Arabidopsis thaliana: one gene and its partners. The protein of the gene in region 1 interacts with the protein of each later gene in a biochemical or structural test. Each region holds a gene or a part of one and is shown on either strand. Other genes may lie near its edges. The genes, in order: LHCB5, HCAR and DEG1.

Region 1 (9,743 bases):
TTTAGGTCAGATGCTACATATGAAATCTAAAATAAATAAATGAAAACATGGGAAATCAAAATATCCTAAACAGTTTGGTGATTATTCTGCAAAAAAAATACACAAAGATACCTAATACAGCTCCGAAAAGGGGCTGCCAGATATAATCATAAGAGCCAAAGTTCAAGGCAAGGACAAGAGAGACCGTCTCACTGGAACTAGCACTAAATGATCCAACTACTAAGACCTTAGCTCAAACTCATATGAAAATGAAGCATACCAACTTGGAACTGCTCTATATATGAGTGGGGTGTCTGATCGCCAGCAAAATGGGTATGAGTGAGTAAAGCTTCCCGTTTTAACAAGCCTGCCCTTGGCCTGAAATAATAAAAATAATATTACTTCATGAAACAAATCACCTACAGTAAAGAAATCCAATGGTCCAAAAAGCACTTAGATTCTCTAAGAAACAGATAAATCATTATGATCTGAACTGACTAATTATCAAGCATCGGTAATCACCTTAACGGCTTCAATTATATCCTTGTCTGCATCTTTGACATAACGGCCACTGAAGTGGGTAATTCTCTCAGTAAACAACCCATCATCATCAACAGCAACAACTAGATTCTCCCCCTGCAACATATATAGAACATTTAACACAATGAGATAAAGCAAGATTATTAGAGTAAACTGAGAATGGGTTCTTGAAGATACTGTAAGCCTAAACAAGAGAGAAACAACAAATGAGCAAAGTTCATGCCTGATGTTAGCAAGGGTGATAAGGAAGATGTAGTCAAACCTAACCTTTTTGATTATTTTGTTCAAAAGACAAACACGATAATCATCTTCACCAAAGGCAGGAGCACAGTGGACAATACCAGTACCACTGTCATCAGTGACATAATCATCTGCTACTACTCGAAAGGCCTCACTTGAGAAATCACTAAAGTAATCAAACAAAGGTTCATACTTCTTCCCAACCAGGGAAGCTCCATTAAATTTCTCCAAAACTTCATAAGAATCAGCTGCACTCTCAGGTTTAGCACCTTTAGCTTTAGGATTTGCTTTCTTAGTATCACCAGCAGGTCCATTACTTAACTTGGCCTTAGGCTTATCAGTGGGAAGAGCAGACAACCGAGATTCAGCAACAATGTACACTTTTCCAGTGTTCTTGTTACGAACCTTCACATAGACAAACTTCGCATTTACACACAAAGCAAGATTGCTTGGAAGAGTCCACGGAGTAGTAGTCCATGCCACAAAAGCAGCATTATCTTGATCCCCAATAACCGGAAAAGTCACCATGATTTCAGGATCAGGGACTTCCTGTACATACACACATTCTACCAATATCAGAGATCAAACTATACAACACAAATCAATCACCTGAAGAACACAATAACAACAACATTACCTTATAGTTCTGACCAGCTTCAAAATTAGATAAAGGTGTCTTACAACCAGTACTGTACGGCATAACCTGCAAACCAGAATTGACCCAAATACAAAAATCACGATCCACGAAACTTCAAAACCACATCAATGCAGGAAGAAGAATGCCAAACAAACCTTGAATCCTCTGTAAACAAGATTCTTCTCCCAAAGCTGAGAAAAAACCCACCAAACACTTTCCATAAAAGGCAAATCCATAGTCTTATAATCATTCTTAAAATCAATCCAACGACCACACCTAGTAATAACCTTCTCCCACTCAGCAACATAACGAGTCACAATACTCCTACACTCTTCATTATACTTATCAATTCCCATCTTAATAACTTCATCTCTCCTCTTAATATTCAATTTCCGATCAATCTCATTCTCAACAGGTAAGCCATGACAATCCCACCCAAACCGACGAGTGACATGGTGACCAGTCATGGTCTGATACCGAGTCACAATATCTTTAATCGTACCAGCGAGGATATGTCCGTAGTGAGGAAGTCCGGTGGCAAAAGGAGGTCCGTCGTAGAAGATGTACTCAGGAAGATTCTCAGTGCGTTTGAGCTGTGTCTTGAAAGCATCGATTTCAGTCCAGAAGGAGAGGACATCTTCTTCTTGACGAGGGAATGAGAATTCTTTTCCTTCGCATACTTCTTCCATGGTGGAAACGGAAGAATCAATCACTGACGAAAATTAGGGTTTCTGCAGAGTTTTTGTTCGGCGCAGATGATATCAAAGTCCCCGGCGTTGAAGATGAAGTTTTGGTGCGTTTTTGTTTATTAATGGGCCGTAGTAAGCCCATTAACTTGTTTGTTTTCTTTTTGGGTCAAACTTCCACTTATTGGTATTAAAAAATCGATTTAAGGAAGAAGGAAAATATTTTGACTATTATGAAACTGTCAAATGGTGGTTGATATACTGAACCAGATGAATTAGATGAATAATGATGAAAATATTAGATGAATAAACTGTTAAATGATGATCAATAAGATAGTAGTTTAATATTGATTAATATACATACTTTAATATAATAAGAAATGTACTAAAATCTAAAATCCAAGGCCAAATACAAAACAAATTGACGCTTTTCTAAAATAAAAACTGATTTATTTTTCCTAATTATGAGACATTGATAATTTTTATTTATTAATTTTTGGACATTTTTTGTCAATTATGGAACTTTTTACTAATTATAAGGTATTTTTGTTAATTATGGGGCATTTTTGTTAATTTTGGGGTAGTTTTGCTAATTTCGAGGCTTAAACAAAACAAAAATATCTGCAAATGGGTCGCAAAAATTTAAGACCCAATACAAATGTTTCATAATAATTGGTGAAAGTTGGACCTAAGTTTATATGAAATCATGTGGTCTAGAACTTATACTAGAATATATTTCAACATTAGTCCACAACATCAATCTGAATATAAGGGTGAGTTTCAAACTTTTCTTTAGGCATATATTATGTTCACATCAGATAAAAATTACATTGAGTGGCTCGTGAATACACTCAACAGAGTTTTTTTTAACATTAAAACATGCATAGAATTTTTTCAAATAATTTTCTCGTACAAAATATGCAACAAATAATGATAAACATATTTTTAAATGCAAAATAGTTTTATATAAAATGAAAAGAATTATTACTTGCGATAGAATCTATAAGCCTTAATCTTTTATCATTGTGCTTATAATTTTGTCCAATCAAATTTCTCAACCTTTATTGGTTTATTATAGACTCATTGCGATCGAGTAATTTTTACTTATTCTAGTTTTTCTTATAAATAAATCATTAATTATTGCTATGTGATATATTTTCTTTCAAAATATTTTATGAATCAATAATTTTAGTGGTTAAAAAACTATGTGAAAGTGAAAATAAAAACACATGTAGTTGGCTTTATGCATTCATATAATCATTTTATACGTGGTGGGAATGAGAATACTTCAACAAGAAAATATGATTGTGAGTAAACACATTTTTAGTGGTAAAGTAGACGATAGATTTGTAAATAGATGTAAATTAGATGATGATTTGACTAGTAATTTCCATGTATAATATTTTTCGAATAAGGAAAAAACGAATATATAAATAAACAATTCTCAAAATAAAATATTATATATTTATTTTCTACTTACAATAAGATTTTAATATATCTTTTTGTTAAATTTATTTTAGTTTTAAAAATTAAACATGCATATTGGATGGAGTTTAATCTAGTTGAATCTAAAATTTAATAGTTTTACGAAAGATTTGTTATTAATTTTAGTTTTGAAATTGAGAATAAAACTAATGAGGCATCAATCCATTAAATATATGTAAGAACAAATCTTCATATATTATATAATATGTTTGGCAAATATATATAAAGTAACTGAAAACAAAGTGAAAATTTGAGAATAATTGTGGGTTTTTTAGTTTTATGTATTAAAAAAAATGTTGTTAATGAAAATCCATATTATTATGATATAAAACAAATTCATTATGAATATAAACATAACAGATATCTTCTATAAAATTCATTATGATATAAAACAAAAGATTAAAATAAAATAAACATAACAAATATCGCTTGTGAAATGAGATCTATATGACTATTGGGCTGAAGTTGGGCCTTGAGAAATAAGAGTGCGCCTTATAATATAGGCCCATTTAAAGTATGTATTGGCGAATCCACGCCGAAAGAGAGAGCGAAAGGGACGATGAGCAACAGAAGAAGAACCGGAGACGATGACAAAGGATTGCTCTGGAAACTTCCCCAAGTTAGGATCAGAGACATTGGAAAAGTTGGTCCAGCTTTTGGACTCGGTGTCGGTTGCGGATTTGGTTTCGGCGCCGGTCTTATCGGAGGTAAATTTCTAATTTCTCCCAATTTTGATCGCAGACTCGCGAATCGCTCGAAGCTATTTATAGATAGTTTTGGTTTAAGAGAGTAGAGATTGGTTTGATGAAAACAGGTGTAGGATTCGGACCAGGAGTTCCTGGATTACAATTTGGTCTTGGATTTGGAGCTGGTTGTGGAATTGGTGTAGGTTTTGGCTATGGTGTTGGAAGAGGAGCTGCTTATGATCACTCTCGTTCTTATTACAACGTTGGAAAACCATCTCTGTGAGTATTTGTCTGCAATTAGATTTTTAGTGATTAAGGATTTGAAGAAGAAGATGATGATTTTGACTTTGGTGATTTGTTGACAGGAATGAAGTTGATTCACTGATTGATGAACTTGTTGTTAGCACGAAGAAGCTTGTGAAAGCTACTACAAATGAAATCGACAAGTGGTTAAAATGATGAACTTTTAGGATTTGTTGCAGCTTCCAAGTAAATGGTAGTGTTTGGTTTGTTCTTAGATCAATAATGTAGATTTGGGGCTAGTGATAATCTCCTTTCTTTTTGTACAATTTTACGTATGGTATAAAGATGGATTCGCATAATTTAGGTGGCTGATTTATCATTCTGGTAATGTGTATGGTTTGAGTGCTGATTTTTGGTGCTATGAGTTGTTCTTTATGGCTCAACTTGGATCAATATGGAGGTTGAGTTTGAGATTTTCTCTCAGTTTAAGGAGGTAGAATAGTGCGTATAGTGGCACAGTGAGCTCAGCTCTAGGGCCAAAGGGCATAAATTCATTATAGCTCTTTCGATTCTACCGTAGTACTGTGTGTGAACCGGCACTGTGAACCAAGATGATTAAATTTTCGTATTCTCTATGTACATGATCCTGCGGCTCAATCGCTTCAGTTTCGATCCACATGATGTATATGTTATAGAATTGTGGGAAACTCCTTGTAGAAAGAGTATGTTCACGTCTAGGACTAGTCGGATGATTCGTTTCTCTTTTTGGTGTAATGAGTATGTTCATAACTGTTGATACAATGTGAAAATCTAACCGTTGAGCTTGGGAGTTTTACGTCTATATGAAAATTCCGGTTGTCGTCTACATTACGGTAGTAAACAGGACCACAGTGATTCCAAATGTCCCAAGGAATTTACTGAAAACCCCAACTAGGACTGTGAAAGGCTTGTGGATGACATTTAACAGTTGAGATTTTCATGTGTTTGAGATTCTTGTAACACATTTTGCTGTATAGGTGAAAGCTTAGCCACACAAAAGGAGAAACAGAGGATATGGATAAAATAAATTATCCAACAAAAACCAATCTAAAAGCCACATCAGCATCCACAACCAATCAGAGGACAGAATCATATTTCACATTTTCAATCCAGACCAATCAAAATCCTGAACGAATCCTACTCTCCACCTTATAGGAGCAGTTTCGTCTCTTCCTCCTTCTTTCACTTAGCTCTTCCTAGTGTTAAACCAGAGTAAAGCTTGAAACTTTGGACTAAAAGAATGGCGTCTTTGGGTGTGTCGGAAATGCTTGGTACTCCCCTTAACTTCAGGGCAGTTTCAAGATCGTCTGCTCCGTTGGCATCAAGCCCATCCACGTTCAAGACTGTTGCTCTCTTCTCTAAGAAAAAGCCAGCTCCTGCTAAGTCCAAGGCTGTCTCTGAGACTAGCGATGAGCTCGCCAAGTGGTATGGTATGTGTCTTCTAAATCCCTTTTATAATCATTTCTTGCTCTGTTTCTTTGTGAATGTGTTTGTAATTGTGACTCTTATGCAGGTCCTGACAGGAGAATTTTCTTGCCTGATGGTCTTTTGGATAGATCAGAGATCCCAGAGTACTTAAACGGTGAAGTTGCTGGAGAGTAAGACACTTTTTCATGTCTCTCTTTGTATGTATGCCTACTTTTGGATTCTGTGCTTAAGGTTTATTGGTCTGAATCTGAATTTGCAGTTATGGTTATGACCCATTTGGTCTTGGAAAGAAGCCTGAGAACTTTGCTAAGTAAGTAGATTCTTTTATCCTAAACCTTTTGTGTTTGCTTTGAGCTATATCTATCGAATTTGTCATTAAGATTGGTTCTTTAATGAATGTGGTTGTAGATACCAAGCTTTTGAATTGATCCATGCGAGATGGGCTATGTTAGGAGCAGCTGGTTTCATCATTCCTGAAGCTTTAAACAAATATGGCGCTAACTGTGGCCCTGAAGCTGTCTGGTTTAAGGTTCTTGCCTACGTCTAATCTTTATTTACATTCAGACTTAGATTCTTTAGCAAAGCAAGAATGTGTTGATGTGATGAGATGGTTCTTTTTGGAATACTGATTGCAGACTGGTGCTTTGCTTCTTGATGGAAACACATTGAACTACTTTGGCAAGAACATCCCTATCAACCTTGTTCTCGCCGTAGTTGCTGAGGTTGTTCTCCTCGGTGGAGCCGAGTACTACAGAATCACCAACGGATTGGTACATTACTCTCTAGTCTCTACATTTAGCTATTACTCATGGGAAAATGACTAAACTTGAAATGCAAATATTTGGTAGGATTTCGAGGACAAGCTACACCCAGGAGGTCCATTTGATCCTCTAGGCCTTGCTAAGGACCCTGAGCAAGGAGCTCTTCTCAAAGTCAAAGAGATCAAGAACGGGAGATTAGCCATGTTTGCGATGCTCGGTTTCTTTATCCAAGCGTATGTTACCGGAGAAGGTCCTGTTGAGAACCTTGCAAAGCATCTCAGTGATCCTTTTGGAAACAACTTGCTTACCGTCATCGCTGGAACTGCCGAGAGAGCTCCCACTCTCTAAGCCATTTCTACTTTTTTTAAGAGCTTCCAAAATGTACACTTTGTTCGATTGGAACTCCTTTTGACAATGTTAAAAAAACTTCCATCTGAATCTTCTTGATATATTTCAAATTTTCAATGGTGCTTTATCATGCTTCTAAGGATATACATAGTCACCCATTGGTTTAATATTTGTTGTTACCAAGAACGCTCTGTCACAATTTAGTCATACATTGCGATTTTATCACTAGTGGCGAGTATGGTAAAAAGTTTCACAACTAATATTGTGATGGAATTTGGGACTATATAAGTTAGTCGAGAGATGTGATCCGTTGAACAATATTAAGTAGCAGAAGATCAAATAGCAATGAGCAGTAGCAGAATATTTTCACAACTAATTAATCATTCTTACATTGTAAAGAACTAGTATTACTCACTCTCAACAATTGCATGTCTCATACAGTAATACCGATGTGTCATAAAAATGTGAATTTTGCTTCGATTGCAAAACACAAATTAGTGTTTTCACTCTGTGAGCTTTGAAGTTGCAGAAATCACAACCCCAATTGGATTCTAAACTCTAGCTAGGCATGTACATTTGCTTCGATTCAAAATAAGAATGTTTTCACTGTCAGATCAAAGGTTCAATAAGTGATAACCATTTTAAGCAAATCAAGCATTTATATTGCTTGATATTTTGTCACATCTAACCAACATTTAACAATTACATTTACTTTTAACAAGTAGGTCGTCTCTACTTCCGACCACCGTCGGGATTAGAACTCGTCCTCTGGTGTAGTCGTCAGATTCCATGATCTATGTTTTTGTAAGGCCTCAGCCCGAGGCCCATTAAAGGGGTTTTGATTATTAATATTAGTATTATTTAAAAAAAAAAAAAATTAAATCTAAATCTGAACTCATCTTTATAAACCCAAACCCTCGTTTAATTTGTAAAACTAACACATCAAGTGTTGGAACTCGCGGTCCTACATCAAGAGTATGGAAGCTGACGTGACGAAACTAGAGACATGATATGTAACATGTAAAAGACGACGTGGGAGCTAATTTTGCGTAGAGTTTGAAGATACGAGTTATTGTAGAGATTCACTAAATATTCTCTACAACAACTTAAGGAAAATATAACATTGATGTGCAAGGTTTATCCATTCGTGGAGATTTACGATTTTCTTAGGATTAGGGTTTTCATGTTGTGTACATATAGTCTAGAGAGGCCATGAGTCGTCGCTAACACTCTAGACTATTACTATAGCAGTGAGATTTGTAAACTTCAAAGCTAAAGTAGACACCTAGATTTACAGACATAACTTCATCCTCATTTAGTAGAACTGCAACTTAATTGCTCTACAAATTTCCGGTTCGCAATATTCGGGGAATTAAAGATTTTTTTTACCAATATAAGCACTTGACATAAACCTCGGAGTAGAGAATAATTAACCTTCCAATCGATCAGTTTCATACACATGGCAATTTAAGTCACTCTTATGCATCCAATTCTCTATAGTTCTTGCAAAACCAAACGACAAAATTTTGTGGAATATGCAAAATCCAAAGCAAAATAAGGCATGAAAACAACGATCAAAATTGAAAATTGAAGTGTTTTAAAGAATGATCGTGCTCAAGTTCTTCACTTTGCAAACTCATTAACATTTACGGATATATATCTCTAGAAACAAAAAATACAAAGAATTATAAATCTATAATTCGAAACGACAAAGAGTAATATAATAAAGGCAATATATAGTTACATGTAGGACACAAACGGCGTGGAAGCGATGACTTGTGGCCAATGAGCATGAGATATGGACAAAAACGGAGGTGGTCAGAGAGATTAAAACAGAGAAAGTGTTAGGGAATTGACATGGCCCTAGAAGATTTTAGGGTTTGACTATATATAAGTGAAGGTGAAATTTACAAAACCTAAGAAGTGAAAGTGTAGATACAGATTCTAGAACAGCTTGTTGTTCGATTAGGAGCTGCAGCAGGCATCAAGAGTCTGTAAGCTGCGTGGATGCAAAATCTGACGTGACAAACTATAGAGGATGATATGACATGTCAAGGACACATGAGCTGACTTGGCGTAGTGTTTGAAGATGCGAGTTGTATTAGAGATTCACTAAATATTATCTACGACAAACTTAAGGAAAATATAACATTAATGAGCAAGGTTAATACATTTGTGGAAATTTACGATTTTCTTACGATTAGGGTTTTCGTGTGGTGTGTAATATAGTCTAGAGAGGCCATGAGCCCTCGTTTAACACTCTAGTCTCTAGATTATTGTGGATTTATAATTTTCATAGCTAAAATAATAAGGCTTAGAAGGTGAGTGTTTGATTATCTCTATTAGTGTTTCACGATTGGGTGAATAGGATCAAACTAGAGTTAGGATTAGACGTGTTCTTAATCGGGTTTAATCTATTGCGTAGAACAAGTTAAGTTCCAAAATAAGTAGATCCTTATAAAGATCATCTTCTTATAATGAACAAGCTAAATACTTTCCAAGTCAAAACTTTGTTGTGTATTGTAGGTTACATGGAAACTCGGTCCGAGGTCCGTTTCCAGTTTCCGAAATGTTTCGAAAACGGAAACTCTTCGGAAACACGAAAATTGTCACAGAAACGCGTTTCCTAGAAATCTATGTTTGGAAACACGATGGAAACGTGAGTTTCCAA
Region 2 (12,190 bases), on another chromosome or scaffold:
GGTCCTAGTGCAATGGCCATGTTCCTTGCCGTTTCTGGTGCCTTTGCTTGGGGAATGTACCAGGTCGGCCAGGGAAACAAAATCCGCAGGTAAGAACGACTTGTAATAGCTCGTTCACATTTCAATTTTTCCTCTAAAATTCGAGATCGCCTTGGTAAAATTAGTGTTGTGGAGTGATTGATGACCATAGTAATGTAGTGAAGGATACATTTTGGTTAATAATTGTTGAAACTTGAGTATGTTTATCGTAGGAATTGGTTAATATTATTAACCTATGGAAACATAGGCTTGTTGAATCACTGTTATGTATTCTGTTATTAGTATTCCCCGACATTTTGGTTGAAGCTTAATCAGCATGAGTTTAGCCTTAAACGAATATAAAGTTCGTCAACAATTTGTAAACTCTTAAAGCCACAATTGCAAAGATGTGAGAATCTGTTATGATGAAAGCAATTATCTAGTTGCATGTTTTGATAGTAGTTATCGGGATACTGTTTCTATGTAGATAGATTGTTTTAGTATTATATCTGGCTTGATCATTAACTTCTTATGCATTTACAATGGTCCTAAACAAGTCTGATTTGATATCAGTAAGTATCAAGATTAATGCTCTTATCAAGATTGATGTGATGTTTAGGGCATTGAAGGAAGAGAAATATGCTGCTCGTAGAACAATACTTCCCATTCTTCAAGCAGAAGAAGATGAAAGGTAAACCATATTCTCAAATTTAAGTCAATGTGCCTGCAGCAACCTTCAGATAGCAATCTTGTTTCAATCCCCGTTTTGCATTCTAGGTTTGTGTCTGAGTGGAAAAAGTATCTGGAATATGAGGCTGATGTAATGAAAGATGTTCCGGGATGGAAAGTTGGCGAGAATGTGTACAATTCTGGTCGCTGGATGCCTCCGGCTACTGGGGAACTCCGTCCTGATGTGTGGTGATTTCCTAGTTTCTCTCAAATGCATATGATGATGATGAATGATGTTTCGCTGAGGATTGATATGTTCTTGTTATATCTTTTTTTCTTCGGGTAATAAGAGAATGATTCAACAGACAGTATTCTTCTTGTATTGGTTTTCTCTTAAGTGTTTCAATCGTAATATGAGGCAAAAACAGTTTCATGATTCATCAGCAAGCTGCAAGAAATTGGCTTATTTGACAGCTCCAGGTGAAAAATATTCGAAAAAGCTTACCGAGTGAAATCGAACCAAATCATATATAATTATATGTGAATTTAATATCCAAAACAATAAAATTTTGAAAACAAGAGTTCTTGAAAATGAAAAAAAGAGTAAAACCTTTTCAGAAAATAAATAAAATTAAATGCTAAATATAGTACATGAAAATGAGAAAAATATGTTAGATTTGTGAAATCGTTAATGACCATGGTTAAATGGCGGGATCCAAAATCCGGTTAGATTTCACAACGTCATATTAATTTAGTATTTATAAAATCTTTTAAAAAAAAGAAAAAGGAAAAAAAAAGAGAGTTGAAAACATTTTTAAAAAAATAAAATAAAAATAATTAAATGCTAAATATACATGAAGATGTGAAAAACATGTTGGATTTGTGGAATCGCTAATGACCACGGTTAAATGGCGGGATCCAAAATCTGGTTAGATTTCACAACGTTATATTAATTTAGTATTTATTAAAACTTTTAAAAAAATCAAAAAAAATTTGAAAAACTTTTAAGAAAAGAAAACAAAAAATAAATGCTAAATATACATGAAGATGTGAAAAATATGTTGGATTTATGGAATCGCTAATGACCACGGTTAAATGGCGGGATCAAAAATCCGGTTAGATTTCACAACGTCATATTAATTTAGTATTTATAAAAAACCTTTAAAAAATTATTTATTTAAATGTTTTAGTGAAAGTTTTAGTTTTGGTTAAAATAATTTTTAAAGAAAAGAAGAAAAAAAGTTAGAATGAAGAAAGTCCTAGTGTAACGAAGGCCTCATACAGCAAAGCCCATTCCAAAGTCCTAGTGTAGCTCTGTCGTAACATTATCCACCAATTTTAGGTCAATTTTGTAAAACTAAACTACAAGATCATTCCATGGGAAGCTTCTCTCCGATATGCAAGACAAGACGCCAAAGAATGGCAAGATGCAGAAGAGTACACCCACCGTTTATCATCAAAACCTGACAGAGTAACGTCACAAGAACCAACAGCTAATCTCTGGACAACACCCCCTATTGGTTGGACGAAATGCAACTATGACGGCACTTACCACAGCAACGCTCCGAGTAAAGCGGGTTGGCTCTTACGGGATGATCGAGGAACCTTTCTAGGTGCAGCTCATGCTATAGGCTCTATTACTACCAATCCGATGGAAAGTGAACTCCAAGCTTTAGTCATGGCCATGCAACATTGTTGGAGTAGGGGCTATAGGAAAATTTACTTTGAAGGTGACAATAAAGAAGTCTCAGAGATTGTCAATGGTCGGTCTTCAAATTTTGCAGTTTTTAATTGGATAAGAGATATAAGCGCTTGGAGATCAAAATTTGAAGAATGCAAGTTTACTTGGACAAGGCGATTTTCAAACATGGCTGCAGATGCTCTGGCAAAACAACAACTTCCTTTGAACACTCAGTTTTATTGCTATAACTATATCCCGTTTGTAATAACTGATTTTTTACATCGCGACTTTGCTACAGCAAATTATTAATAAAGCTGATGTTTGAGGAAAAAAAAAAAAACTACAAGATCAAACCCTAGTTCCTCCGATGAAATTGCGGTTAGAAAACTAAATATTGATTGACCTAATTCAAAGAGACCTTTTTTGTGCAGAAACTAAATATTAAAAATCCAAGGTTCCAAGAGATCAAATAGGAATTTAAGCGAGAAGCAACATACCTGAGTCTCGTGACAACGGCGCGTGGTTTGCGTCAATACTTGGGACTCTCGGTGAGATCCGCCATGATTTGCTAGAGAGATCGTGAAACGCAAGAAAACAGAGAGACAAACGGTGGCGAGATCATTGATGGTGTGATCACCGAGTTACAGTTCCGACGGTTCTGACGGTGGTGAAAATGGATGGTGATCATCGAGCTTTGACGTTCTCGTGATCGGTGAGTTCTTTTTGTAAGAGAGGAACAGAAACAAACAGAGGCTAAAAAGACAAAAGAAGAAGAAGAAGGTGGATTTTTTGTTTTCTTCTCGTAATCCATGCTTTGGACCTTGTATCAGCCACTTATGATCATTTGCTATATTGATGCTTTCCAATTTTAGAGTATTGAAATGGGTTTCTTTGACAATCATTTTGAGTTAGTCATCATTCCTTGTTCTGAATCAAGAATTGGCTTTTGTTATGTTGTCTAGGTTCTGCTTGTAACTAGAGTAATGCTATTGTAGTCTCTGTTGTTTATTTGTAGAATCATAGAGAGTCGTGGAAGCATGTTTTAGTTGTTACTCTCGATTTCTTGTCGATGTTGTGGTGTTATAAATTGAGCGTTTTAACCAATACAAGTTAGGAGATGGTTAGTATGTGACTATGTGTTAGTGGCCATGTATGTAGTTCGATCAGATAATCTGAATGATGTGCTAAAGAGCTTGCATAGGAAGACTGCCTTTGTGTTAGCTTGCATAGAGACTTGTTGCAATATATGAGACTGAAAACTATTATGTGAAAACTTTAATTTGTGTACAAATATTTTTAACTCTTAAAATTAAACTAACATTGTACCAATTAGCACATGAAAGAAACACAGAATTCTGTGAACATATGATGAATAACTATATAAACACATTATGGATTCAGTTAAGGAGACAGAAACAAGAAGATGAATTTCAGATATATAGCAATAGAGTCACTTATAATCATATCAGAGCTTATACTTTATACAAATTATCACTTTAGTCCTTAAATTAAAACCGATTTAATCGACAATCTTGTTATTCTTTAAAACAATTTGTTCTTATTTTCAATCTTTAAATTTTGCAACAATCGACAGAACTTATCGTTATTCCGTGTTTTTATTTTCATATCTTTCTTAAAATGTTTCAAAATAATATATGTTTAATATTTTCTGATTTACAATAGTTATTAAGTTATATGAAATATAATTATTTTAAATTTTATTTTATTTTTCAGAAAACTCTTATAAGAGAGCTTACCATTAGAATATGAAAAAAAATTAAAACTCTCTTATAACTTTTTAAAAATTTTAATAATAAAAAAATGGAGAAAGCCCGTGAAAGAGCTCTTACGAACCAAAACCATTCAGTCCGGTTAAGAATTGGTTATCAAGTTTGGTTCCTAAAAGATATCCAAGTTCAAAAGCAAAAAAATATCTTCTTTTCTCTCTCTCTACTCTCTTCTCTTCTTCTCTTCTTCTCTTCTTCTCTGGCTGGGCAACCATGATTACTGTCGTCACCTCCAGGCTCTCTCTCCTTCCTCCAGTCTTCTCCGTCGTTAACTCTTCTTCTTCGCGTTCCAAAGGTGCTCAATTTATTTCTGCCACGTCTTCTCTTTATAGCACTCTGTTTTACACACGTCGTTGATTCTTCAGTTTTTTAAAAGACCCGTCTTATACAAAATTTCAGTGTAACCGATCCCTGAAATTCGTTAAAGGGATGAAATTTTATCTAAGATTCGGAGTTTTCTTTTCGAACATAGTGGTAATGTTTGTCGAATGCTTGATTTGGTCTTCCACAGCTGTCACTATCGAGTTTGAAGATAGAAATCTTGTGTTAACTTAGTATGTATTACTGCATAATGTCAATTCTGTTTGAAAGCATCAGAATTTCGGAACAGATTTTTGTTTCGTATAGCATCGATCTTTGTCTTGTGTGTTTTTATCTTCTCTCTGAAGCCTGCATGAACCCTTCTCTTATGGCTTTAATTGCAGATATGAATCTAGAGCCAAAAAAGAAGGTTAAATTAAGAGAAGACTGGAGAGAAAAGTCCAGACCTATCCCACCCGGAGGAACCTATCCAGCTAAAGACCATTGCAGGTTTTTTCTTTCTTTTTTGTTTGTTTGTTTGTTTACCTCACTATTTTTGTCTCATTCTTATCAAGATCCTTGGTGTTCTGATGGGTTTGCAGTCAGTGCGGGCTATGCGACACCTACTACATTGCCCATGTGAAGGAGGCATGTGCATTTCTTGGAGATGGAATGTCAAGGATTGAGGTAATGTCCATATAAATGGATAAGATTTGATACTCTTTTTAATTGATGGGCTAAGATTCTTATTTTGTTAATATTTTAAGTTCTTGTGCAGAGCTTGGAACCTGTTGTGCATGGTAGAGGAAGGAAAGCAGATTCCTTACAAGATACATATTTTGGGGTGCATCAAGAGCAGCTCTATGCTCGTAAGTTGAAGCCTGTCGAAGGTAAATAGACACTTCCCTTCCACTGTTCCACATTTTCTACTAACTTCTTTTCCTGGCTCAATCTAAGCTAGGGCACTTTTGTGTCTCGTTCAAGATGAATTTAGCTTAGCTTTGTTGTTTACTTTTCATTCTATTTTCGGTTGCAGGAGCTCAGTGGACTGGAATTGTCACAACCATAGCCATTGAGATGCTGAAATCTAATATGGTTGAAGCTGTCGTTTGTGTGCAGAGGTAAAACTACTGTTGAATTTCAGAAATGGACTAGGCTTACATTTATCGACCATGCTGTAGATTTTTCCATCTATCCATGTAACTGATTTATTGAAATATTACAGTGATCCTGAAGACAGATTATCTCCAAGACCAGTATTAGCCAGGTTTTCCACCTTCCTAATGTGGTTTATTTTGAGTCCATTCTTCTTCAAGTCGCCATTTTTTAGATGTGGATCCATATTTTGCTGTTACTCTGGATATAGAAGCGTATTGATGTTTCATTTCTTTTCATTCTAAGGACACCTGAAGAAGTTTTGGCTGCAAGAGGTGTCAAGCCAACTCTGTCTCCTAATCTGAATACTCTTGAATTAATCGAGGTTATTTGCCAAACCCTTATTTCTTGTTTGTGTTTTCAATCACTGAATCCATTTCACATGAACTTAGAATTTGTATTGTAACAGGCTTCCGGAGTGAAGCGTCTTCTGTTTTGCGGTGTGGGTTGCCAAGTGCAAGGTATGGGCTCAACATACTTTTTTGTGGACGTATATTTCAAGTTTCTCCATATCGTGACTCTCATAGTATTGTAATGCAGAGTGATTTCTTATACTGCAGCATTGAGATCAGTGGAGCAGCATCTGAATCTGGAAAAGTTGTATGTACTAGGCACCAATTGTGGTATTTTCCTCATCCTATCTAGATTTGTTTTTTCTCCAGAACTTTCACAACTAGTTCTTGTGTTGTACTTTTGAACATTCCATGTTGTATATGTTATTTCGGAGTCTTGTATGCTTAGGTCTAGAAATGCTTATACATTTTTAAACAAGTAAAAAGAACATCTTTGATTAATAGTGGACAACGGAACACGAGATGGACTAGACAAGTTTCTGAAAGCAGCTAGTAAAGAGCCAGAGACTGTTCTCCATTATGAATTTATGCAAGATTACAAGGTTAGCATTAATACAAAACCATCACTTATCTGTGCATTTTCTTTGGTGATGCCAATCTTGTTCAATTTCTCTTATAGGTCCAACTCAAACACTTGGATGGACACATTGAAGAGGTAAATTCGCTTAAAATACTGTGTTGCTCTGCAATTGCAGCTGAAAGCCGTTTTTAAAAAACTTTTTTTGGCTAAAGCAGGTTCCCTATTTCTCTCTACCTGCAAACGATTTAGTAGATGTCATAGCTCCATCGTGTTACAGGTAATACAAGTCTCTGCATTGTCTCTATACCTTGAAATAGATAACCTGTCGGAAATTTTTAAAACTTGTCTACAATTACAAACCCTATCTTTTTTATTCTGCAGCTGCTTTGATTACACAAATGCATTAGCGGTGAGTGTTTCTCTAGCAATTAAGATGTCTTTTCACTTAATTTTGATTCTGCCAATTTCAAACATTTCCTGATATGTATGAGCTTGTTTATCTAGGATTTGGTTATCGGTTACATGGGTGTTCCGAAGTATTCAGGTCTGAACATGACTGACCATCCACAGTATATTACAGTGAGGTCAATATTTCTACGTATTTTGACATGGACCATATAGGTTCTCGTGGTTGGATAAAATTAGTTTTGTTTATGCCTTAAACCACAGAAATGAACGTGGGAAAGAAATGCTCAGCTTGGTAGAAAACCTTTTGGAGATCACTCCAACAATCAGCAGCGTAAAGTTTCTAACATTTATATTTGTTGTTATATTTAAGACTTTAAGAGTCCACTTAACAAATAACATGAACAAACACACCTTTTGTTGTTGTTTCAGGGTGATCGGCGACCTTTTGTGACAGAAACTGTTAAGGCAGACGATGCTGCTAAGTTTGGTATGTTTTCAAACGTATTCGAAACTCTTTTGTTTCTTGAATCGTCTCTGCTTAAAGACATTCAGTTTCAAGCAAAGCTAGATGCCAAAAAGAAAGTTCTCAGCAAATGCATGCAACTAACATTGTGCTAAAGTCTTCTAACTAGTCTATAATTTCTTAGGTCAAGGTCCTGCTCAGCCAGCGCCACTATTTGTTGGAAACATTATTGCGTTCATCCTAAATTTGGTAAGATTATTTCCTTATGAACACAAACCGAGAAACAAGCTCATTGCATAAAAAGTCAAAGAGTTTCTTAACTTGCAAAACCATTCTTGCTTCAGGTTGGTCCTAAGGGTCTAGAATTTGCTCGGTACTCGTTGGACTACCATACCATCAGAAACTATTTGTACGTAAACCGCAAATGGGGAAAGCAAAGGTAAGATCTGAAACACACTCCTAGAGATAAAAGTTTATTGCGATCAACTGTGTATTTCTATACTATTGGATCGTTCTCTAATGACCAAAGCTGCATTACCATCTACAGAGCAAACACCCACATGCCATCATATGCCAAAAAGATAGTGGAAATGTACAACAAAAACGGCCAAATAGATAAAATGCTCTCCAAGAAATGAACATTTTAGGCCTTTCTCATGTAAGTTTCCAAATGTATATTTCATCCTACAAGTGAGTAAATGTACATTGGTCCTACTGTTTCTCAACTTGTAGTATGTTAGTAATATCCAAAACTATTTCCCTCGTGAATTTGGTAAGACACCGGCAAGAAAAGATGGGTCGGTTTGGTGTTTTTTGGCAGAGAACAGAGAATAAGAAACAGTCTAAATCAGCGGCTGAATCCAAATCAACCCATGTGGGTTCCTTCCTCCATATCTTTAGGTTAAGGTGATGTCCGAGTAAAAGGTTGCAGGGTTTTGCATGAGAACATGAATAACTGTTTTAAGAGGATGGGAACCAGACATTTACACAGTTGGGGGGAATTAGCTTTTAATGTCTTTTTTTTGCTTGGACAAAGAAGAAGGAACCATGGTTAAGCTTCACTCGCTCGCTCACTCACTCACTCACTCACTAACTTACTCATCACCATATTTCACACATTGGAAACTTCAAATTTTACTCTCTCTCTTTTTTTCTTTTTTTGTCTTTTTGTTAGTCAAGTCTCTGCTCTGCTCGTTCAATGACTTTGCTGCAGAGACTCTCAGACCTCAAGTGAAACTCATAAATGTCTCTGCTCTTTTGCACCATAGTTGATTTTTTCTCACCAGAGGCATTGTCCTAATACAGAGCATGTAAACGTTTTTTCTAATAATATATTTAAGTGAAATAAAGCTTACTTTGGTACCTTGAATTAATTTTGAGTTGCAATTTGACATATAACAATGTTAGAGAATTCATTTACGTATTGCATATTTTGGATCTGTATCTGTATCTGTTTCAGTATATATATATTTATAACTAGATCCAACATCATATATAATATATGATTTCACTCAAGTTTTTCTGAGAAAGTTGTATAATGTTATATTTATTATCCATCTGTGTTTCAAATTAGATACATTGTTCATCCCTAATGGATTTTGCATATCCTACAGAAATGCATGTTTCAGTATTTTCAACTTGTGTTCCCTGGAGGTTGTAATCCATGAAACAACTTTAATATGGACTGTCCAAGACAATCATGTGTAAATCAATCATTTGCCAAATATAATGATTACAAAATGGCTAATAATTCCTTAATCAGTTAAATAACAGCTCTAACTTGTGAGAGTATTCTTCCAATAATGAAACAGCATGAAATTAGTTGTTTCTTTTCCTGATCAACAACATCATCATAGAGATAACACAACATGCATCGTTGAGAAAAGAATTACAAAACCGTAAAATATATTTGTCATATTAGATTAAGCAAAACTTCTTACAAGAGTTCAAAATCTAAAATGAAGATTTAAAAAAAATACAACAACAAAATAAAGCACTCTTAAAATAAAAATACATAAAAAAGCCACATCTTCCTAAAAAAACAAAGAAAAATCCCCCTATTATTTTTTTCTTTTCACAATTCTCTTTTTTTTGGGGGTATTTTCTTCCGAGGAGAGGGCTTAATTATCTTCTTCTTTTTTTGAATATTTTTTTCCCTAAATTTGATAATGATGATTAGAAATGTGAAATACAACGACGATGACGAGCAGCAGCAGTTTTCTTCTGTTGCTTAGACTCTTCTTTCCACCTATTAGCAATATCATGAGCCACACTCATAGCATCAAGCGACGCACCAAACAATCCTTTTCTCGTGAACCCTACCGCATACAATCCCGCCTCTCCTTTCCATCCGTTTGGAAACGGGTTTTTTGGTATCCCATCATCGGAGAAGAAGTCGTTGTCCTGTTAATACAATTAAAATTCAACACACCAAATTAGTACACATACGAATTTATTGACCTAATTCTTAGTCCTAACTGTCATTACCGGATTTCTATTTCTAACCAAAAACTAGTACCACGTTTTTGTATCCTTTTCGATGAAAATATAAATGTTAATGGTTCATTTGCATTTATTGCTCACATTCGAAACACAATTTGAGTAGGGTTTTCACTAAACTAGGACCGGGTCGGGTGGTTTTTTTTGTGTGTTTTGTCTTCCGACATCATTAAATGTCTAAAATTTAAGCTAAACCTTGAGAAGAAACAATGAATGAAAGATGTTTTATTTATTACCTTAAGCCATGAAGGGACGTTGCTTCTGTATCCAGTAGCTAGAATAACGGAATCAATCTCAAGAACACGGCCATCTATTAGCTCAACTTTGCCTTTGCCGAACTTTATGATTCCGGGGACGATTTTGATCTTTCCCGATCTGATTTTGGGTAACGCTCCGATGTCAAGAACCGGAGTTTTGCCTTCCTTGTTCTTTAGCTCTAACGGTCCAATTTTCGGCCTTTTTAGACCGTATTTATCGGTATTCCCCAAGATAATCCTCGCCAGAAAGAGTATAGTCTTGTCCGCGAGCCAAACGGGCATATACTTCATCATCGTAACTCCTAATTCAAACGTTGATTTCCCAAAAATCTCTCTTGGTAAAACATGAACCTGATAAAATCAAGAAAGGAAAAAAAAACACAGACTATTAGATACTGCTCTGTTTTAGAAAACAGAGTAACAGAAACAGAGGATGCTCTGTTTTAGGGGCTATAAAGATTTGAACTTTTGGTACTTTTTTTTTTTTTTTGGTTTAAGACTTTTGGTACTTACAGCGCTACGAACGACCATCGATGGGTTTGCTCCGTGATTGTAGAGATCGAGAGAGACTTCCATACCGGAGTTTCCACATCCCACCACCAAAACCTTTTTCCCTTGGTACCTTCCACCGGATTTATAGTCACCAGCATGGAGAACATCGCCGCCAAAATCCTCTAGACCTTCAAAATCCGGCACAACTTTCTCAGCGTTCTCTCCCGTTGCCACCACAATCCATCTGCATATATACTCAAACTCGCAAGAACCGAGCTGACCCATGTTTGAAATGGTCTTAACCCGCCACAGCCCGAACGTCTCATCATATTTAGCGGACTGGACTGTCTCGTTGAACTTAGGGTTGATGTCAAAGTTGGCTGCGTAGGACTCAAGGTACTGAATAAACTGAAACTTGGTAGGGTACTCAGGGAACTCGTCCGGGAAAGGATAATTGGGTAATTGGCAAAACTGTTTAGGTAGATGGAGTTTGAGACGATCGTAGGTTCTGTTTTGCCATAATGAAGCAATGCAGTTAGCTCGCTCGAGGATTATGAATGGTACCCCTTCACGTTTCAAGCCCGCAGCAACGGCTAGACCTGATGGGCCAGCTCCGACGATGACGGGTCCATTGACCCAGATGCAACGCCGGGAGAAAATGTCGCTGCCTTCGGGGATGAGGTTTTGAAACATACTCGTGATGTTGATAGACTTCTTGTTATTATTTCCATACATCTTCCACAGAGTTTAGAGTTTGCTTGTCTGGTTGTGAGGAGAAAACAGAAGAAATTTTAAGAATGTAGAAGAAGAAAAAAGAAAGATTTTGGAAACTTTTTAAGACAAGAGGATGGAGATGTAAGTGTATGTGTGTGTTCTGTTGGATTGGAGAAGGAGATGTATAAATAGAGAAGACGACTTGATGCAAATTGGTAATTGTAAAATTAGTAAAAATATTATTATTATATATTTAGCTTCTGAATGTTATTTATATCTCAAATGATAAGCTTTGCAGCCCACCATTATTTCTTTATTTTTTTTTTTTCATATGTCCCTTACTTATTGGTAATAAATTAATCCTCGTCCAACAAATACAATAATTAGTCACAAGAAAAGTGGTTCAATATTTTGCATCTTCTTTTCTTTGCATGGCAAATATCAACTACGTATACAACAAATATACAAGATGAAGATTGACTCTTTTAATTAGGAAAAGAACTACCAAAATGTTTAAAATCATTAAGAGAGATTATGGTCGGTTCAGACCGAATTAAAGAGACTATTTTTAATCTCCTTTTAGTTGCCAAAATCTTATAGTCCAAGTCGAAACCAGATAAAATAGAAAATTTAAAGCGTATTGAGAGAGAAGATATACATGACTTTGGATATACACTTGAGAAGAGAAAGAAAGCAAGATAATTAAATTTGATGTCAGGTTGCTGCCAACGTGGGAATCATTTAGGGTTAAAAAAAGTGATACTTATATGTTGCTTACATTGATCGATTACACTGAAGAGACATGACAACGCATTTTGCTTCACGATCATGTATATACATAAACATGAAAGGTCCATTGGGACTTCGGAGTTTC
Region 3 (11,036 bases), on another chromosome or scaffold:
ACTGCAGATCTATTTGGGCTGAGTCCACTAAAACCATGTTTTAGTTTGGCCAAATTTTAAATGTTCGTAATAGTATTTGTTTGGCTGAGCCCATGGTCCTTTTGACCAATTGACAGCTCTAGTCTTACTACCTCCACTAGTGCATAGTAAAAACACAACACTAGGCAGCAAACGCATTGCAACGCTAATACCTCAACTCACAACAACATCAACATCAAGGCAAAACCAAAACATATCAGTGAGCTAAAGAAATACCACCAATGCCAATAACTGATGATTTGGAGGCTTGAAAAGCCACCACTAGAAGCTGCAATAACTCCAAATCAACATCATCGTCACCACGAATTGCCAAGAAAAAAATATCTCAAAACAAAAACAACTTTTCAGTTGTGTAGCAGTGTAGAGAACCAAAATTTTGAAATTTAATAAAATGTTATCTTAAAATATGGTTTCAAAACATTCACATATGCATCACAATATCTTGCAATTACCAAAACTGTCATAAACACATTCTCCATAACCTTGACAAATTGTATACAACAATAAATAATATCCAAAAAATTGGGAAAAAAATATTATACGAATAATTTAATATTTAAATTTTACAAAGATAATGTCTAGTTTCTAAAGATTTTTTTTTGGATTAGTCGGTTAATTTAAAGCGCCGCTTAGGTTTATTACTATATAAAGTCTTAATATAGAAGAATGTTGAAATATTCAAACGTGAAGCAAAAGCAGAAGCGAGACTATCGCCGAGAGCTCTCACTAACTATTGAATTCATCGAAGAAGCTCTCTCGTTGTCGCAGAATCTCTTCTTCTCCGTTCTAGAACAATGGGGAATGCTCTTGTCAAAAAAGAACCACCGCCTCCGGTGGTACTCGTTCCTCCGCTCTTTGATTACCCTCCTCTCTCCGCCCGCACTAGGTCTACCATCTCCTCTTCTTCTCCGATCTGATCCTCATACTTTCAATTTGTTAGAATCGCGTGATTTCGAAGTAGTTTTTGTATAACCTAATCTAATCAAATAGATCGATTCTGATTTATAGGTTAAATTGTAATTGTGCGATTGTGAGAAATTGTTGTTGTTGTTGATGCAGGATGTTGGAATCATCATATAATTTGTTGTTTGGGAAGCTTGCATTGAGATGTCTATTTGAGGATTACTTTGAAGAAGCTAATCGATTCACGGGCAAGTTTTTGTTGAAGCCTACTGATGATCCTCATGTGGATTTGGTTGCATCTGTATCCAATTTTGAAATCTCTTTTGTGTTATTTAGTTTCTATATAGTGATGATTCGAGAATTTTCTCTAAATGGATGTATTAGGGATATGTAGAAAATCAGAATTTTCCTTAATAGTCTAAAGGTTTCGGGTGCTGTAGATGGTAGAGTGGAAGGAGATTTTGTTGGGAATGCGGAGTTTCGCTGGCAAAGGTATAGATTCTTTAGTTTTTAATCTGAAAGATTACAAGTAGTTGTTGGAGAATTGGAATACTGATTAGTTTGTTTTTGATAAATATGCAGTGATGTTGATGATCCTCATACTTTTGTTGATCTCTCTGTGTCAACCTCGAATCCGTAAACTTTGTGCTACTTTTGATATATTCTTGGAGGTTATGTTCATTACAGTAGTTTAATGTTTTGAAATTGTTTGTTTTGTTTGTCATCATCATTAAGGGTTCTTCTAATGAGGTCTTCTGCTTACTATCCTAAATATGGAATCGGGGCATTTGCGGTCTACCCTTTGATTTCAAAAATTACGTAAGTCGTATCTAGGTGTGTACCCTGTTGTTATATTTAGATTAGATGTAATATTGTGAGGGTGAATATATGTTGTCTCTGTAGTGGAAAATCATCTGAAGAATATAGAATCATGGGGTTGAGATATGGCTCAACGAATTTGTCTGTCGGAGCTACTGTCACTCCTTTTAGTGGTAAGCGCATAAAGTTGCTCTGTGAATTCACGTTGTTTTCTTTTGGACACAATGCTGACCCTTTGATTCTTCAATTCAGCGAATAACGAATTGCCAAAGCATGCATGGCTTGTAAGCAAGATGGGAAGTCTTACAGTAGGAGTACAATATGAGCCGCTACGTGAGTTAGTTTACATTGTTTTATTTCTGTTGAACAGATTTTACGCATCACATGTGGAAACTAGTATCTATAAATTATGTGATTGAAAGAAAGTGAGCATCAACAATTGTTATTGGATTTTGTTTTAGATGGAAGCAAAGATTTGGCAAAGTACACAGACCCAAGAAACTGGAGTTGTGCTGCTGGCTATGGAGTAGGGTCACAAAGCCCCTTGACTCCTTCTTTTAACATTGGCATTGAACTAGCAAGAAGCTCTCAGGTGATTCTTTTAAAATCCGTGTAGATGAAAACATGTTGTTTTGCTGTCTGTATGCACAAGTCTTAACCCCAAACAATTTTTCAGTATCTCATGGAACTTGACAAACGACCACATTATTTATCTAATGGCATATCATCCATTTTGTAGCATTTTTAGTCTTGCTGATTATGTTATCTTTCTTGTAAATGCAGTTTATTGCTTCGTTCTACCAACACGTAGTGGTCCAAAGACGGGTACAACTCTTTCAAACAAGTCCTTTTTCTGTGCTGCATCTTATACTAGTCTTCCATATATAAAGTTTAGCACATCTTTGGCTCAATATGAAATCGATTTAATGGACTTGGAACAGGTGCAAAATCCTTTCGAAGAAAACCAAGTAGTTGGAATCACAAACTACATTGATTTTGGTTTTGAGCTACAATCGAGGTAGTGAACATCTCTAAGTAAAAAAAAAAAAAACATTGTAGCTACTGTTTGTCTATACAGAAACAGAACTTTATATTTCGTCTTAATATTGAAGGGTTGATGATTCCAAGACGCCACCCAATGCCCCAGATTCTTTATTGCAGGTGGCTGCGTCTTGGCAGGCCAACAAGAACTTTTTGCTGAAGGTATAAAAAAATATTTACCTTATCGAGTTACTCAAAAAGAAACCATTTATCTCAAATTTTGCTCAGTATGTAACATTTTCAACTTTTGCAGGGTAAAGTCGGAGCTCATAGCTCAACATTGTCATTAGCATTCAAGTCGTGGTGGAAACCGTCTTTCGCATTCAATATTTCAGGTATGCGTTGATAAATAACCTGAATGCAGCGAAATCAAGATGAACATAGGTTCTTGGTATTTGAACATGTTTGGACTCATTTTTTATGCAGCAACAACTAATCATAGGACTGGAAATGTCCAATGTGGGTTCGGTCTACGTGTTGATAACTTAAGAGAAGCCAGGTCAGTCCATTTGTGACAAGTTTAAAATTAAATCAACCCTCTTTAGCTTCATGATCTTCTTCACATTGTTTTATTTTGTGAAATTGCAGTTACCAAAGAGCTGATCCAAACTTTGTAATGCTGACACCGAACAAAGAACATTTAGCTGAAGGGATTGTGTGGAAAATGGGGAAGAGACCAATGTATCAAGCCGATGTGGACGCAGAGAATTTTAGTGAGCTGCCAAAAGAACTTAGACCGTCCCAGAAGATTCTCTAAACTACACCATTAATCTTTTTGCACTTTTATCTAGTAGATTTAGATATCAACCAAGTCAAGTATTTAATAAGTTCGACGAAAGAAGAATTACTTAGGAATAACCATTTTTACTCTTATGGAGTACAAGTGTTTAGTGTTCAAAATTAGGAGTGGATTATCTGGTTTAAACTCTTAAGTTTGGTCTTTTTGGGCTTTTGATTTTTCGAAGTTCTTAAATGAAGCGAAATCCTGATTTGTTTTTGGACTTTTCATTCGGTTTGGAACGATATTTATATGGGATGATATATTACGGGTGAACAAATATCAAACAAAAACAAAACAAATAATATAAAGAAATACAACTTAAATTTAAAAATTTTAAAAAATCGATTATTGGTGTACTACGGGTTATGGATATAAGTAACAACATTCTTTATAATATTTACCATAATAAAGGTTACTGTTTAAATTTATTTTCAAAGTACAAAAAGTTTTCGATTCAATTTGATTCGGTAACAAAAAAAAGACCCGGTTTTGTTTATTCCAGATTCATAAGATCATAAAATAGTGGTTTACTAAACAAATTTCAATTCAATTTCGGTTCGATTCGGTTACGTATACAAAACCATAGCTTCGCATAGAAAAACCATTATTTTCAAAAATTAATATTTTTAATTACAAAAAAAAATGAAATAAAACAGAGACCACAATCCCATTGTCCCATGACCAGAAGAAGAAGAAGAAACTAAATGGCGACGACGACGAGTTGTTCGCTTCTCCTTTCTTCCACTCTCTTCCTTCACTCTCCTCCTTCTTCTCACCTCTCCTTCTTCAATCTCTCTTCTTCACGATCCTCTCCAATTTCTCTTTACCCAATCCGATCCAAACGCTATTTCCGAATCCTCTCGAAGCTTTCACTAAACGACAACAACAGAGACGACGATGATGATACTCTTCATTTTACTCCGTTCTCCGCCGTTAAACCTTTCTTCCTCCTCTGTACCTCCGTCGCGTTATCGTTTTCACTCTTCGCCGCTTCTCCCGCCGTTGAATCTGCCTCGGCGTTTGTAGTTAGTACTCCGAAGAAACTTCAAACTGATGAGCTCGCGACGGTTCGTTTGTTTCAAGAGAACACTCCTTCCGTTGTTTACATCACTAATCTCGCCGTGAGGTATCTGAATTTGATTTCTCTCTGGTGAATTTCGTTTTGAATTTCTTCTCTCCGTGATTTGAGGATTGGTCTAATGTTGTTTGAATTAGGCAGGACGCGTTTACATTGGACGTTCTTGAGGTACCTCAAGGCTCTGGTTCAGGATTTGTGTGGGATAAGCAAGGTCATATTGTTACCAATTACCATGTTATTCGTGGTGCTTCTGATCTCAGGTTAGTTATGTTGAAACTTTGAGAATCTGATTGATTTTTGATAGAAATTGGAATTAGTAATTGTTGTATTCTTAGTTTTATAATGAGTACATTGTTTCTTTGGATGGTTTCTTTTGATGTTTGTGTATGATAAGGAAGTTGGATGATGTATATAACAGGGTCACTCTTGCTGATCAAACAACATTTGATGCAAAAGTTGTTGGATTTGACCAAGATAAGGATGTTGCAGTATTACGTATTGATGCACCGAAAAACAAATTAAGACCTATACCTGTTGGAGTCTCTGCTGATCTGCTTGTTGGCCAGAAAGTCTTTGCCATTGGCAATCCAGTGAGTATACATCCTTAAAGTGATCATAGATTAAAGCTCTGCTTTGTGTTTTCTATTGCTAGCTAGGTCAATACTTATGTTTCTTGTTCATACGCACTAAAGCAAGAACTTTTTTGTGCAGTTTGGACTTGATCATACTCTCACAACTGGTGTTATAAGGTATGTTAAATTATATTTGTCTTCTCTTTTTTTTAAGTTGCATTCTACTCTAATCAGATGTGTTCTTCTCATAACGAACTCACAAATGAAAGTGTCAAAAAAGATGATTGGTACTTGAGGATACTGGATACATATATTTTCTCTTGCCCCTCTTCATGCCAAATGGCTATACTATTCCTTTTCTCTTATTAAAACTGTAGCATGTTTGTGCATTATGATTTGTACAGTGGTTTGCGAAGAGAAATTAGTTCTGCTGCAACTGGTCGTCCAATTCAAGATGTGATACAGACAGATGCAGCCATTAACCCTGGTAACAGCGGAGGACCTCTTCTAGATAGCTCAGGAACGTTAATTGGTATAAACACAGCCATTTATTCTCCTTCTGGTGCATCTTCTGGAGTGGGCTTTTCGATCCCAGTTGATACAGTGAGTTCTCTCTTCTTTTTTACCCATTGCAAATCTGATCAGATAGAGTCTTTCTCTATCATTGAATCCACTAACGGGAGACTAAAGTTGTTTCGAGCTCTGTTTCTCTCATGTTCAGGTTGGTGGTATCGTTGATCAGCTGGTGAGATTTGGTAAAGTCACCAGACCAATCTTAGGTATCAAATTCGCACCGGACCAATCTGTTGAGCAATTGGGAGTGAGCGGTGTGCTCGTCTTGGATGCTCCTCCAAGTGGTCCAGCCGGCAAAGCCGTAAGCTCTTCCTGTTTCCAAGTTTCCATATAACAGATATTTTCTCTATGTTTCACTCCGCGGTTTTAATATTGAAATGTGTAAAATTGGTTTTGTTCCACAGGGACTTCAGTCAACAAAACGTGATGGTTACGGGAGACTAGTACTAGGAGACATAATCACGTCGGTGAACGGTACAAAAGTCTCTAACGGGAGTGATCTGTACCGGATTCTCGATCAATGCAAAGTCGGCGATGAGGTAAACTCCGCAGTTTTTGTCAATTAGTTTCTGCATCCGAGATAGTTTTGACACTGATGATGTTGATTAGGTGACCGTAGAGGTTCTAAGAGGCGATCACAAGGAGAAAATCTCTGTAACTCTCGAACCAAAGCCGGACGAGTCTTAGAAACGTCGTTGAAAGAAGTAAATATACATAACGTGTAGAAAAAAAGTCCGGTGGGTTATATTTTTGTATATCAATTGTTCGGAAAATAGATCGTCCAATTGTGTACATAAAATCTGTTTATATTTGCATACATGCGAAAGGTAACCGGAAATAACCAAAATTGCAATGTCTTCAAACGGTCTTATGGTTTGGATTGGTTTTTAATTTCGGTTCAGACATTGGGAGTGACGAGTCTGACACCTAGAAAAAATCAAAATGAGAAAAATGAAAACCGAATTTCGTCGGCTTAATGGACAGTTACCTCATCTTAGCAATGATGCATAGTACTGATTTTGCGGCTTTGTAGTACCAAATTTTTTTTTCAACACTCTCTCGGATGCATAGTACTGATTTTGCAATGATGCATAGTACTGATTTTGCGGCTTTGTAGTACCAAAATAAAATTTCATGATTGTGCGGCTTAGCAATGATACATATTACATAGTACATTAGTACTGATTTTGGACCTTTATTTTAGTCGAGACAATTCTGAACTTACGGATTCCGAAGTTAACAAAGTCCTTTTATAGCTTTTATTCAGTTCCGAACATGGTTACTTTTTATACATGAAACTTCCTAAAATTTTACATCTACAAACATTCGAGTTTGAAAATTTAATGGTTTGATTTTCGACTCATTACCAAGAATTTCTTTTTGATATTATTCTTCATGATTTATCAAAAGATGTACGTGTATTATATGGTTATGTCTTGAGTTCATGTCATGTGTTCGAATCTTTATAATATAGTCTTACACGGTTTAGGTTATTTGTTCAATTGTTAAGTCATTTTACGGTCCCTATTTCACATTATGTTAGTTTTTTAAAATATTTAAAACAACGTACTGTAGTTTTGATAAATTATTGAGTTTTTTTATTAAGTTGTGAACGCATGCTCTCGTTGAGAGATCATTTACTCGAGCTAAGTTATGACTTGGATGGTTGTGTTGCAGGTGAAAGGTAGCTTTGCAAAAAAAAAAAAAGTTTGAGGTTATGTCTGCATGTTTCCCTGTATACAAACTCAACCATTTGTATTTTATTTTTTGGGTGCAAAAACTATAATTTACGTAGTTTTTGAACACTTTCATAACATCAAATATTACCCACGTGATAAGTGAAAACGAACCGAATATGTAATGATCAGCGAAGGTCCCTACGTGGAATTTAATATTTGTGTCATTCTTTTTAAGCAACACCAACAAGACACTGACATGGGTTGGTATTTATAAATTTGCAACGTAAAGTATATGTAGTAAGATTGTATCTTCTATGGTTGGGACTGTATCTAAACCAAACCGGTTTAATAGGGTATATATTTTTTTTGTCTTTGTCTTTGAATTTGTGGGGTCATAAATCACGGGCATCTTCATTTGGAAATGTATTCATAGTAATGTATATAAACTACTTTCGAGCCGACTTGGTAATGATTACGAGAATCCTCTGCTTTTGGAGTAAATTTCTAATTTAATATGTACGTGTATCTAGATATATATACGACGACATGTCGTTACCCAAATGCTTCGTTAGAGGATAGCTTGTTGAGAACTTGACTATGCCAATCATATATGTTTGTTTGGCTTTATGTAGCCCCAATATTAACAACTTAATACTAAAAAACCTAATAACAAAAACATTGAGTAAAAAACTACAGTACTTATAAGTAAAAAGAATAATGATAGTAGCTACTTCATATACATAATTTACATTTCTTAGAAATAATTGTTTGTACTTTCTCGAGTTAGTCAAAAATTAAAGTAGTTTTTTTATAACCGAAATACTATTTAGCTAGTGGAAACTATATTTTTCTGTTTTTGTGCAAGTAAATAGTATGCATATTTATAAGGGTATATGTATAAGCTAGCTCGAAAACCAAAGTAGAAGAGAGTAGGAAGGTGGTAACTGGTAAGTAGGGAGACAAGTGAAGAGCAGAGCTTCTATTCCTCCAATTATTTAGTTAAATAGTTGTGAGACATATTCCTTACATATTCAGTTTCACTATTTTATTCTCTACCACTTAACTTGTTAGTTGGAACTAGGTTATATGGTATTCAACATATACTCATACTTTGTACGTAGACGCTTTCTTGAGTAAATAAATTAAACCTTTCATCAAAATATATATATATATATATATATGTCTTTGTATATTAACAGTATGCACACACATATATATAATTTAGGTCCATAATTTTTCTACCCCGAAAATTAGAGGAGATTAATTTGGTCTCTTATCTACTATAATGTTCGAACTTGTGACTTGAAAATTCTCATTTTGACTAACTAATCAGTATACAGGCTAAACTATCTGATTAGATTTAAGAAATTAAATCGATATGATATGTAAATGAACACATAAATTTTGTGGTCTATTTTTAAAACTCAATTAAAGAGGGTAACCTCATGAACTTTTAAAAAGTATGTCGAAAAGTTGACTATAATTTGAGAAACAAGACATATGGAAAGGAGAACCATTTCATTGATCCATCAAAGTTTCTTTTTTCATGTTTTATCTTCTGCAAAAAAACTGTTTTAGGGTGAACTCTGTGGTACTTTTAAATAGGTTGTTCCGATCCCACTTTGTTGTATAAATAACTAAAAATAATATGTAGTTCCAATGAAAAAGATCATTATCAAATATTAGTAGAATGTAAGTGTATACAGTGCATAAACAAACTGGTTAACGTGTCAAATAAATTACAAATCAGTTAAATCATACAATATAGAACATTTCGCAGTAATCTGCCCCATATTTAGTAGATTTGTTTTTGTAAATTTCATGTCGCAAGTATAGTATTTAGATATTGCCAGAGGAGAAAAAACAATTTTTTTATAAATTTTTTGGCCATAGATACAATTAAACCAACTGCCAAATTTTAGCTTTTAATACGTAACGTAGGGTAACAAAGGATAACGCTATAGTCGCTATCTATACATTATTAGGTACATATTTATGCTTATAGCCATGATTACACAAAGATACGTATTGATGTGAGTGTATATATAAGCACGTGTCACGAAAACCCATCATAAGTTCACTACTCATAATCTCTTTCTCTCTCTCACACACACACACAGACACACACAAACATAGAAGGAATCAGAGAATAAAAAAAGAATGAGAATAAGGAGAAGAGATGAAAAAGAGAATCAAGAATACAAGAAAGGTTTATGGACAGTTGAAGAAGACAACATCCTTATGGACTATGTTCTTAATCATGGCACTGGCCAATGGAACCGCATCGTCAGAAAAACTGGTACTCTTTCTCTCTCTCGCGCGTTTTGTGATTATATATATTAACTTTAGTCTCTAGCTAGTTCATATATAAATATATCTCAGTTAGACTAAATTTGATTCGTTGATAGGGCTAAAGAGATGTGGGAAAAGTTGTAGACTGAGATGGATGAATTATTTGAGCCCTAATGTGAACAAAGGCAATTTCACTGAACAAGAAGAAGACCTCATTATTCGTCTCCACAAGCTCCTCGGCAATAGGTACATAACTTTATGTTACTACAATATTATACACCATGTCTTTTTATTTAATCGATCGTTAACTGATTTTTTCTTTCGTCAAATATTTGAATTGTTGTTTTAAACAAAGATTTGGCCGGTTAAGTTGATTTTTAAAAATCTAATTGAAGGATTTTCTTACTTGCAAATGTAAAAATAAAGAGAGTTGACAAGTAAAGACTGTTTTATTTCAATTAAACTATGTGTTCGTGGATTATTTCACATTTCAAAAGGTGTTTTCTTCACAAAATAAATCTTAAAAATAATCCTTTGAACTTAAAATATGTTCAAAATTTTCAAGTTGATATATTTTTCTGAAGAAGAAAAGAGTTGCACAAGATAAAAGTTTGTCTTCTCTTCAATGAAACTCAACCGATGTGTTGGTGGGTTATTTCAATTTTAAAAGGTGTTTCCTCCAAAAACAAATCTTTAAGAGTATCTTTTGAACTTAAAAATGTTCGAACATTTCAAGTGGATATATTTAATGAATAATAGACACTTTTTCATAAGTGTATTAGTCGTGCAAACAGTCACTTCTCAAAATTCATTATAGAGTTAGAAACGTTTTCCACAATTGAAAAATAAAAATAAAAAATCCTCTCTATGTATATAAATATGCATTCATTTATGAATCACATACAGATGTCGAAATAATAAAAAGAATCATAAACATATGGTATGTTATAATTTATGTTATATGGTATGAATTTAATAAAAATGTCCTATAATATTTTTTCCCCAAATTCAGATGGTCTTTGATAGCTAAAAGAGTACCGGGAAGAACAGATAACCAAGTCAAGAACTACTGGAACACTCATCTCAGCAAAAAACTCGTCGGAGATTACTCCTCCGCCGTCAAAACCACCGGAGAAGACGACGACTCTCCACCGTCATTGTTCATCACTGCCGCCACACCTTCTTCTTGTCATCATCAACAAGAAAATATCTACGAGAATATAGCCAAGAGCTTTAACGGCGTCGTATCAGCTTCGTAC

The links.
Region 2: the proteins of LHCB5 (region 1) and HCAR form a complex in vitro, tested with the Arabidopsis thaliana proteins (one study listed by BioGRID).
Region 3: the proteins of LHCB5 (region 1) and DEG1 form a complex in vitro, tested with the Arabidopsis thaliana proteins (one study listed by BioGRID).

The regions. Positions count from the first base shown.
Region 1 is NC_003075.7:6,402,425-6,412,167, forward strand, and holds LHCB5 (light harvesting complex of photosystem II 5), read left to right. Parts: upstream 1-5,582; 5' UTR 5,583-5,775; coding exon 5,776-5,965; intron 5,966-6,048; coding exon 6,049-6,133; intron 6,134-6,222; coding exon 6,223-6,273; intron 6,274-6,371; coding exon 6,372-6,492; intron 6,493-6,598; coding exon 6,599-6,733; intron 6,734-6,811; coding exon 6,812-7,072; 3' UTR 7,073-7,425; downstream 7,426-9,743. Other genes in the region: AT4G10320 (tRNA synthetase class I (I, L, M and V) family protein), read right to left, coding at 260-357, 502-615, 787-1,308, 1,397-1,462, 1,552-2,085; AT4G10330 (glycine-rich protein), read left to right, coding at 4,127-4,274, 4,382-4,532, 4,619-4,712. UniProt on the Arabidopsis thaliana protein: The light-harvesting complex (LHC) functions as a light receptor, it captures and delivers excitation energy to photosystems with which it is closely associated.
Region 2 is NC_003070.9:1,278,671-1,290,860, reverse strand, and holds HCAR (coenzyme F420 hydrogenase family / dehydrogenase, beta subunit family), read left to right. Parts: upstream 1-4,241; 5' UTR 4,242-4,368; coding exon 4,369-4,450; intron 4,451-4,859; coding exon 4,860-4,965; intron 4,966-5,057; coding exon 5,058-5,142; intron 5,143-5,233; coding exon 5,234-5,345; intron 5,346-5,491; coding exon 5,492-5,576; intron 5,577-5,680; coding exon 5,681-5,722; intron 5,723-5,856; coding exon 5,857-5,935; intron 5,936-6,019; coding exon 6,020-6,071; intron 6,072-6,170; coding exon 6,171-6,233; intron 6,234-6,407; coding exon 6,408-6,505; intron 6,506-6,582; coding exon 6,583-6,618; intron 6,619-6,698; coding exon 6,699-6,760; intron 6,761-6,864; coding exon 6,865-6,892; intron 6,893-6,987; coding exon 6,988-7,067; intron 7,068-7,152; coding exon 7,153-7,222; intron 7,223-7,320; coding exon 7,321-7,378; intron 7,379-7,538; coding exon 7,539-7,603; intron 7,604-7,698; coding exon 7,699-7,793; intron 7,794-7,901; coding exon 7,902-7,992; 3' UTR 7,993-8,698; and 1 more. Other genes in the region: MEE4 (GRIM-19 protein), read left to right, coding at 1-89, 638-709, 796-940; AT1G04625 (Polynucleotidyl transferase, ribonuclease H-like superfamily protein), read left to right, coding at 1,041-1,167, 2,073-2,629, 2,941-3,030; YUC3 (YUCCA 3), read right to left, coding at 9,530-9,757, 10,090-10,461, 10,624-11,337. UniProt on the Arabidopsis thaliana protein: Probable iron-sulfur flavoprotein that converts 7-hydroxymethyl chlorophyll a to chlorophyll a using ferredoxin as a reducing equivalent. Catalyzes the reduction of a hydroxymethyl group to a methyl group. Belongs to the chlorophyll catabolic enzymes (CCEs).
Region 3 is NC_003074.8:10,362,116-10,373,151, reverse strand, and holds DEG1 (DegP protease 1), read left to right. Parts: upstream 1-4,207; 5' UTR 4,208-4,287; coding exon 4,288-4,709; intron 4,710-4,798; coding exon 4,799-4,921; intron 4,922-5,079; coding exon 5,080-5,251; intron 5,252-5,372; coding exon 5,373-5,410; intron 5,411-5,637; coding exon 5,638-5,836; intron 5,837-5,954; coding exon 5,955-6,107; intron 6,108-6,210; coding exon 6,211-6,345; intron 6,346-6,415; coding exon 6,416-6,493; 3' UTR 6,494-6,543; exon of another isoform or gene 6,544-6,803; intron 6,804-7,483; 3' UTR 7,484-7,500; downstream 7,501-11,036. Other genes in the region: AT3G27930 (beta-galactosidase), read left to right, coding at 834-925, 1,099-1,243, 1,367-1,434, 1,525-1,578, 1,678-1,761, 1,846-1,934, 2,014-2,094, 2,223-2,353 and 6 more; MYB0 (myb domain protein 0), read left to right, coding at 9,646-9,784, 9,894-10,023, 10,790-11,036. UniProt on the Arabidopsis thaliana protein: Serine protease that is required at high temperature. May be involved in the degradation of damaged proteins. In vivo, can degrade beta-casein.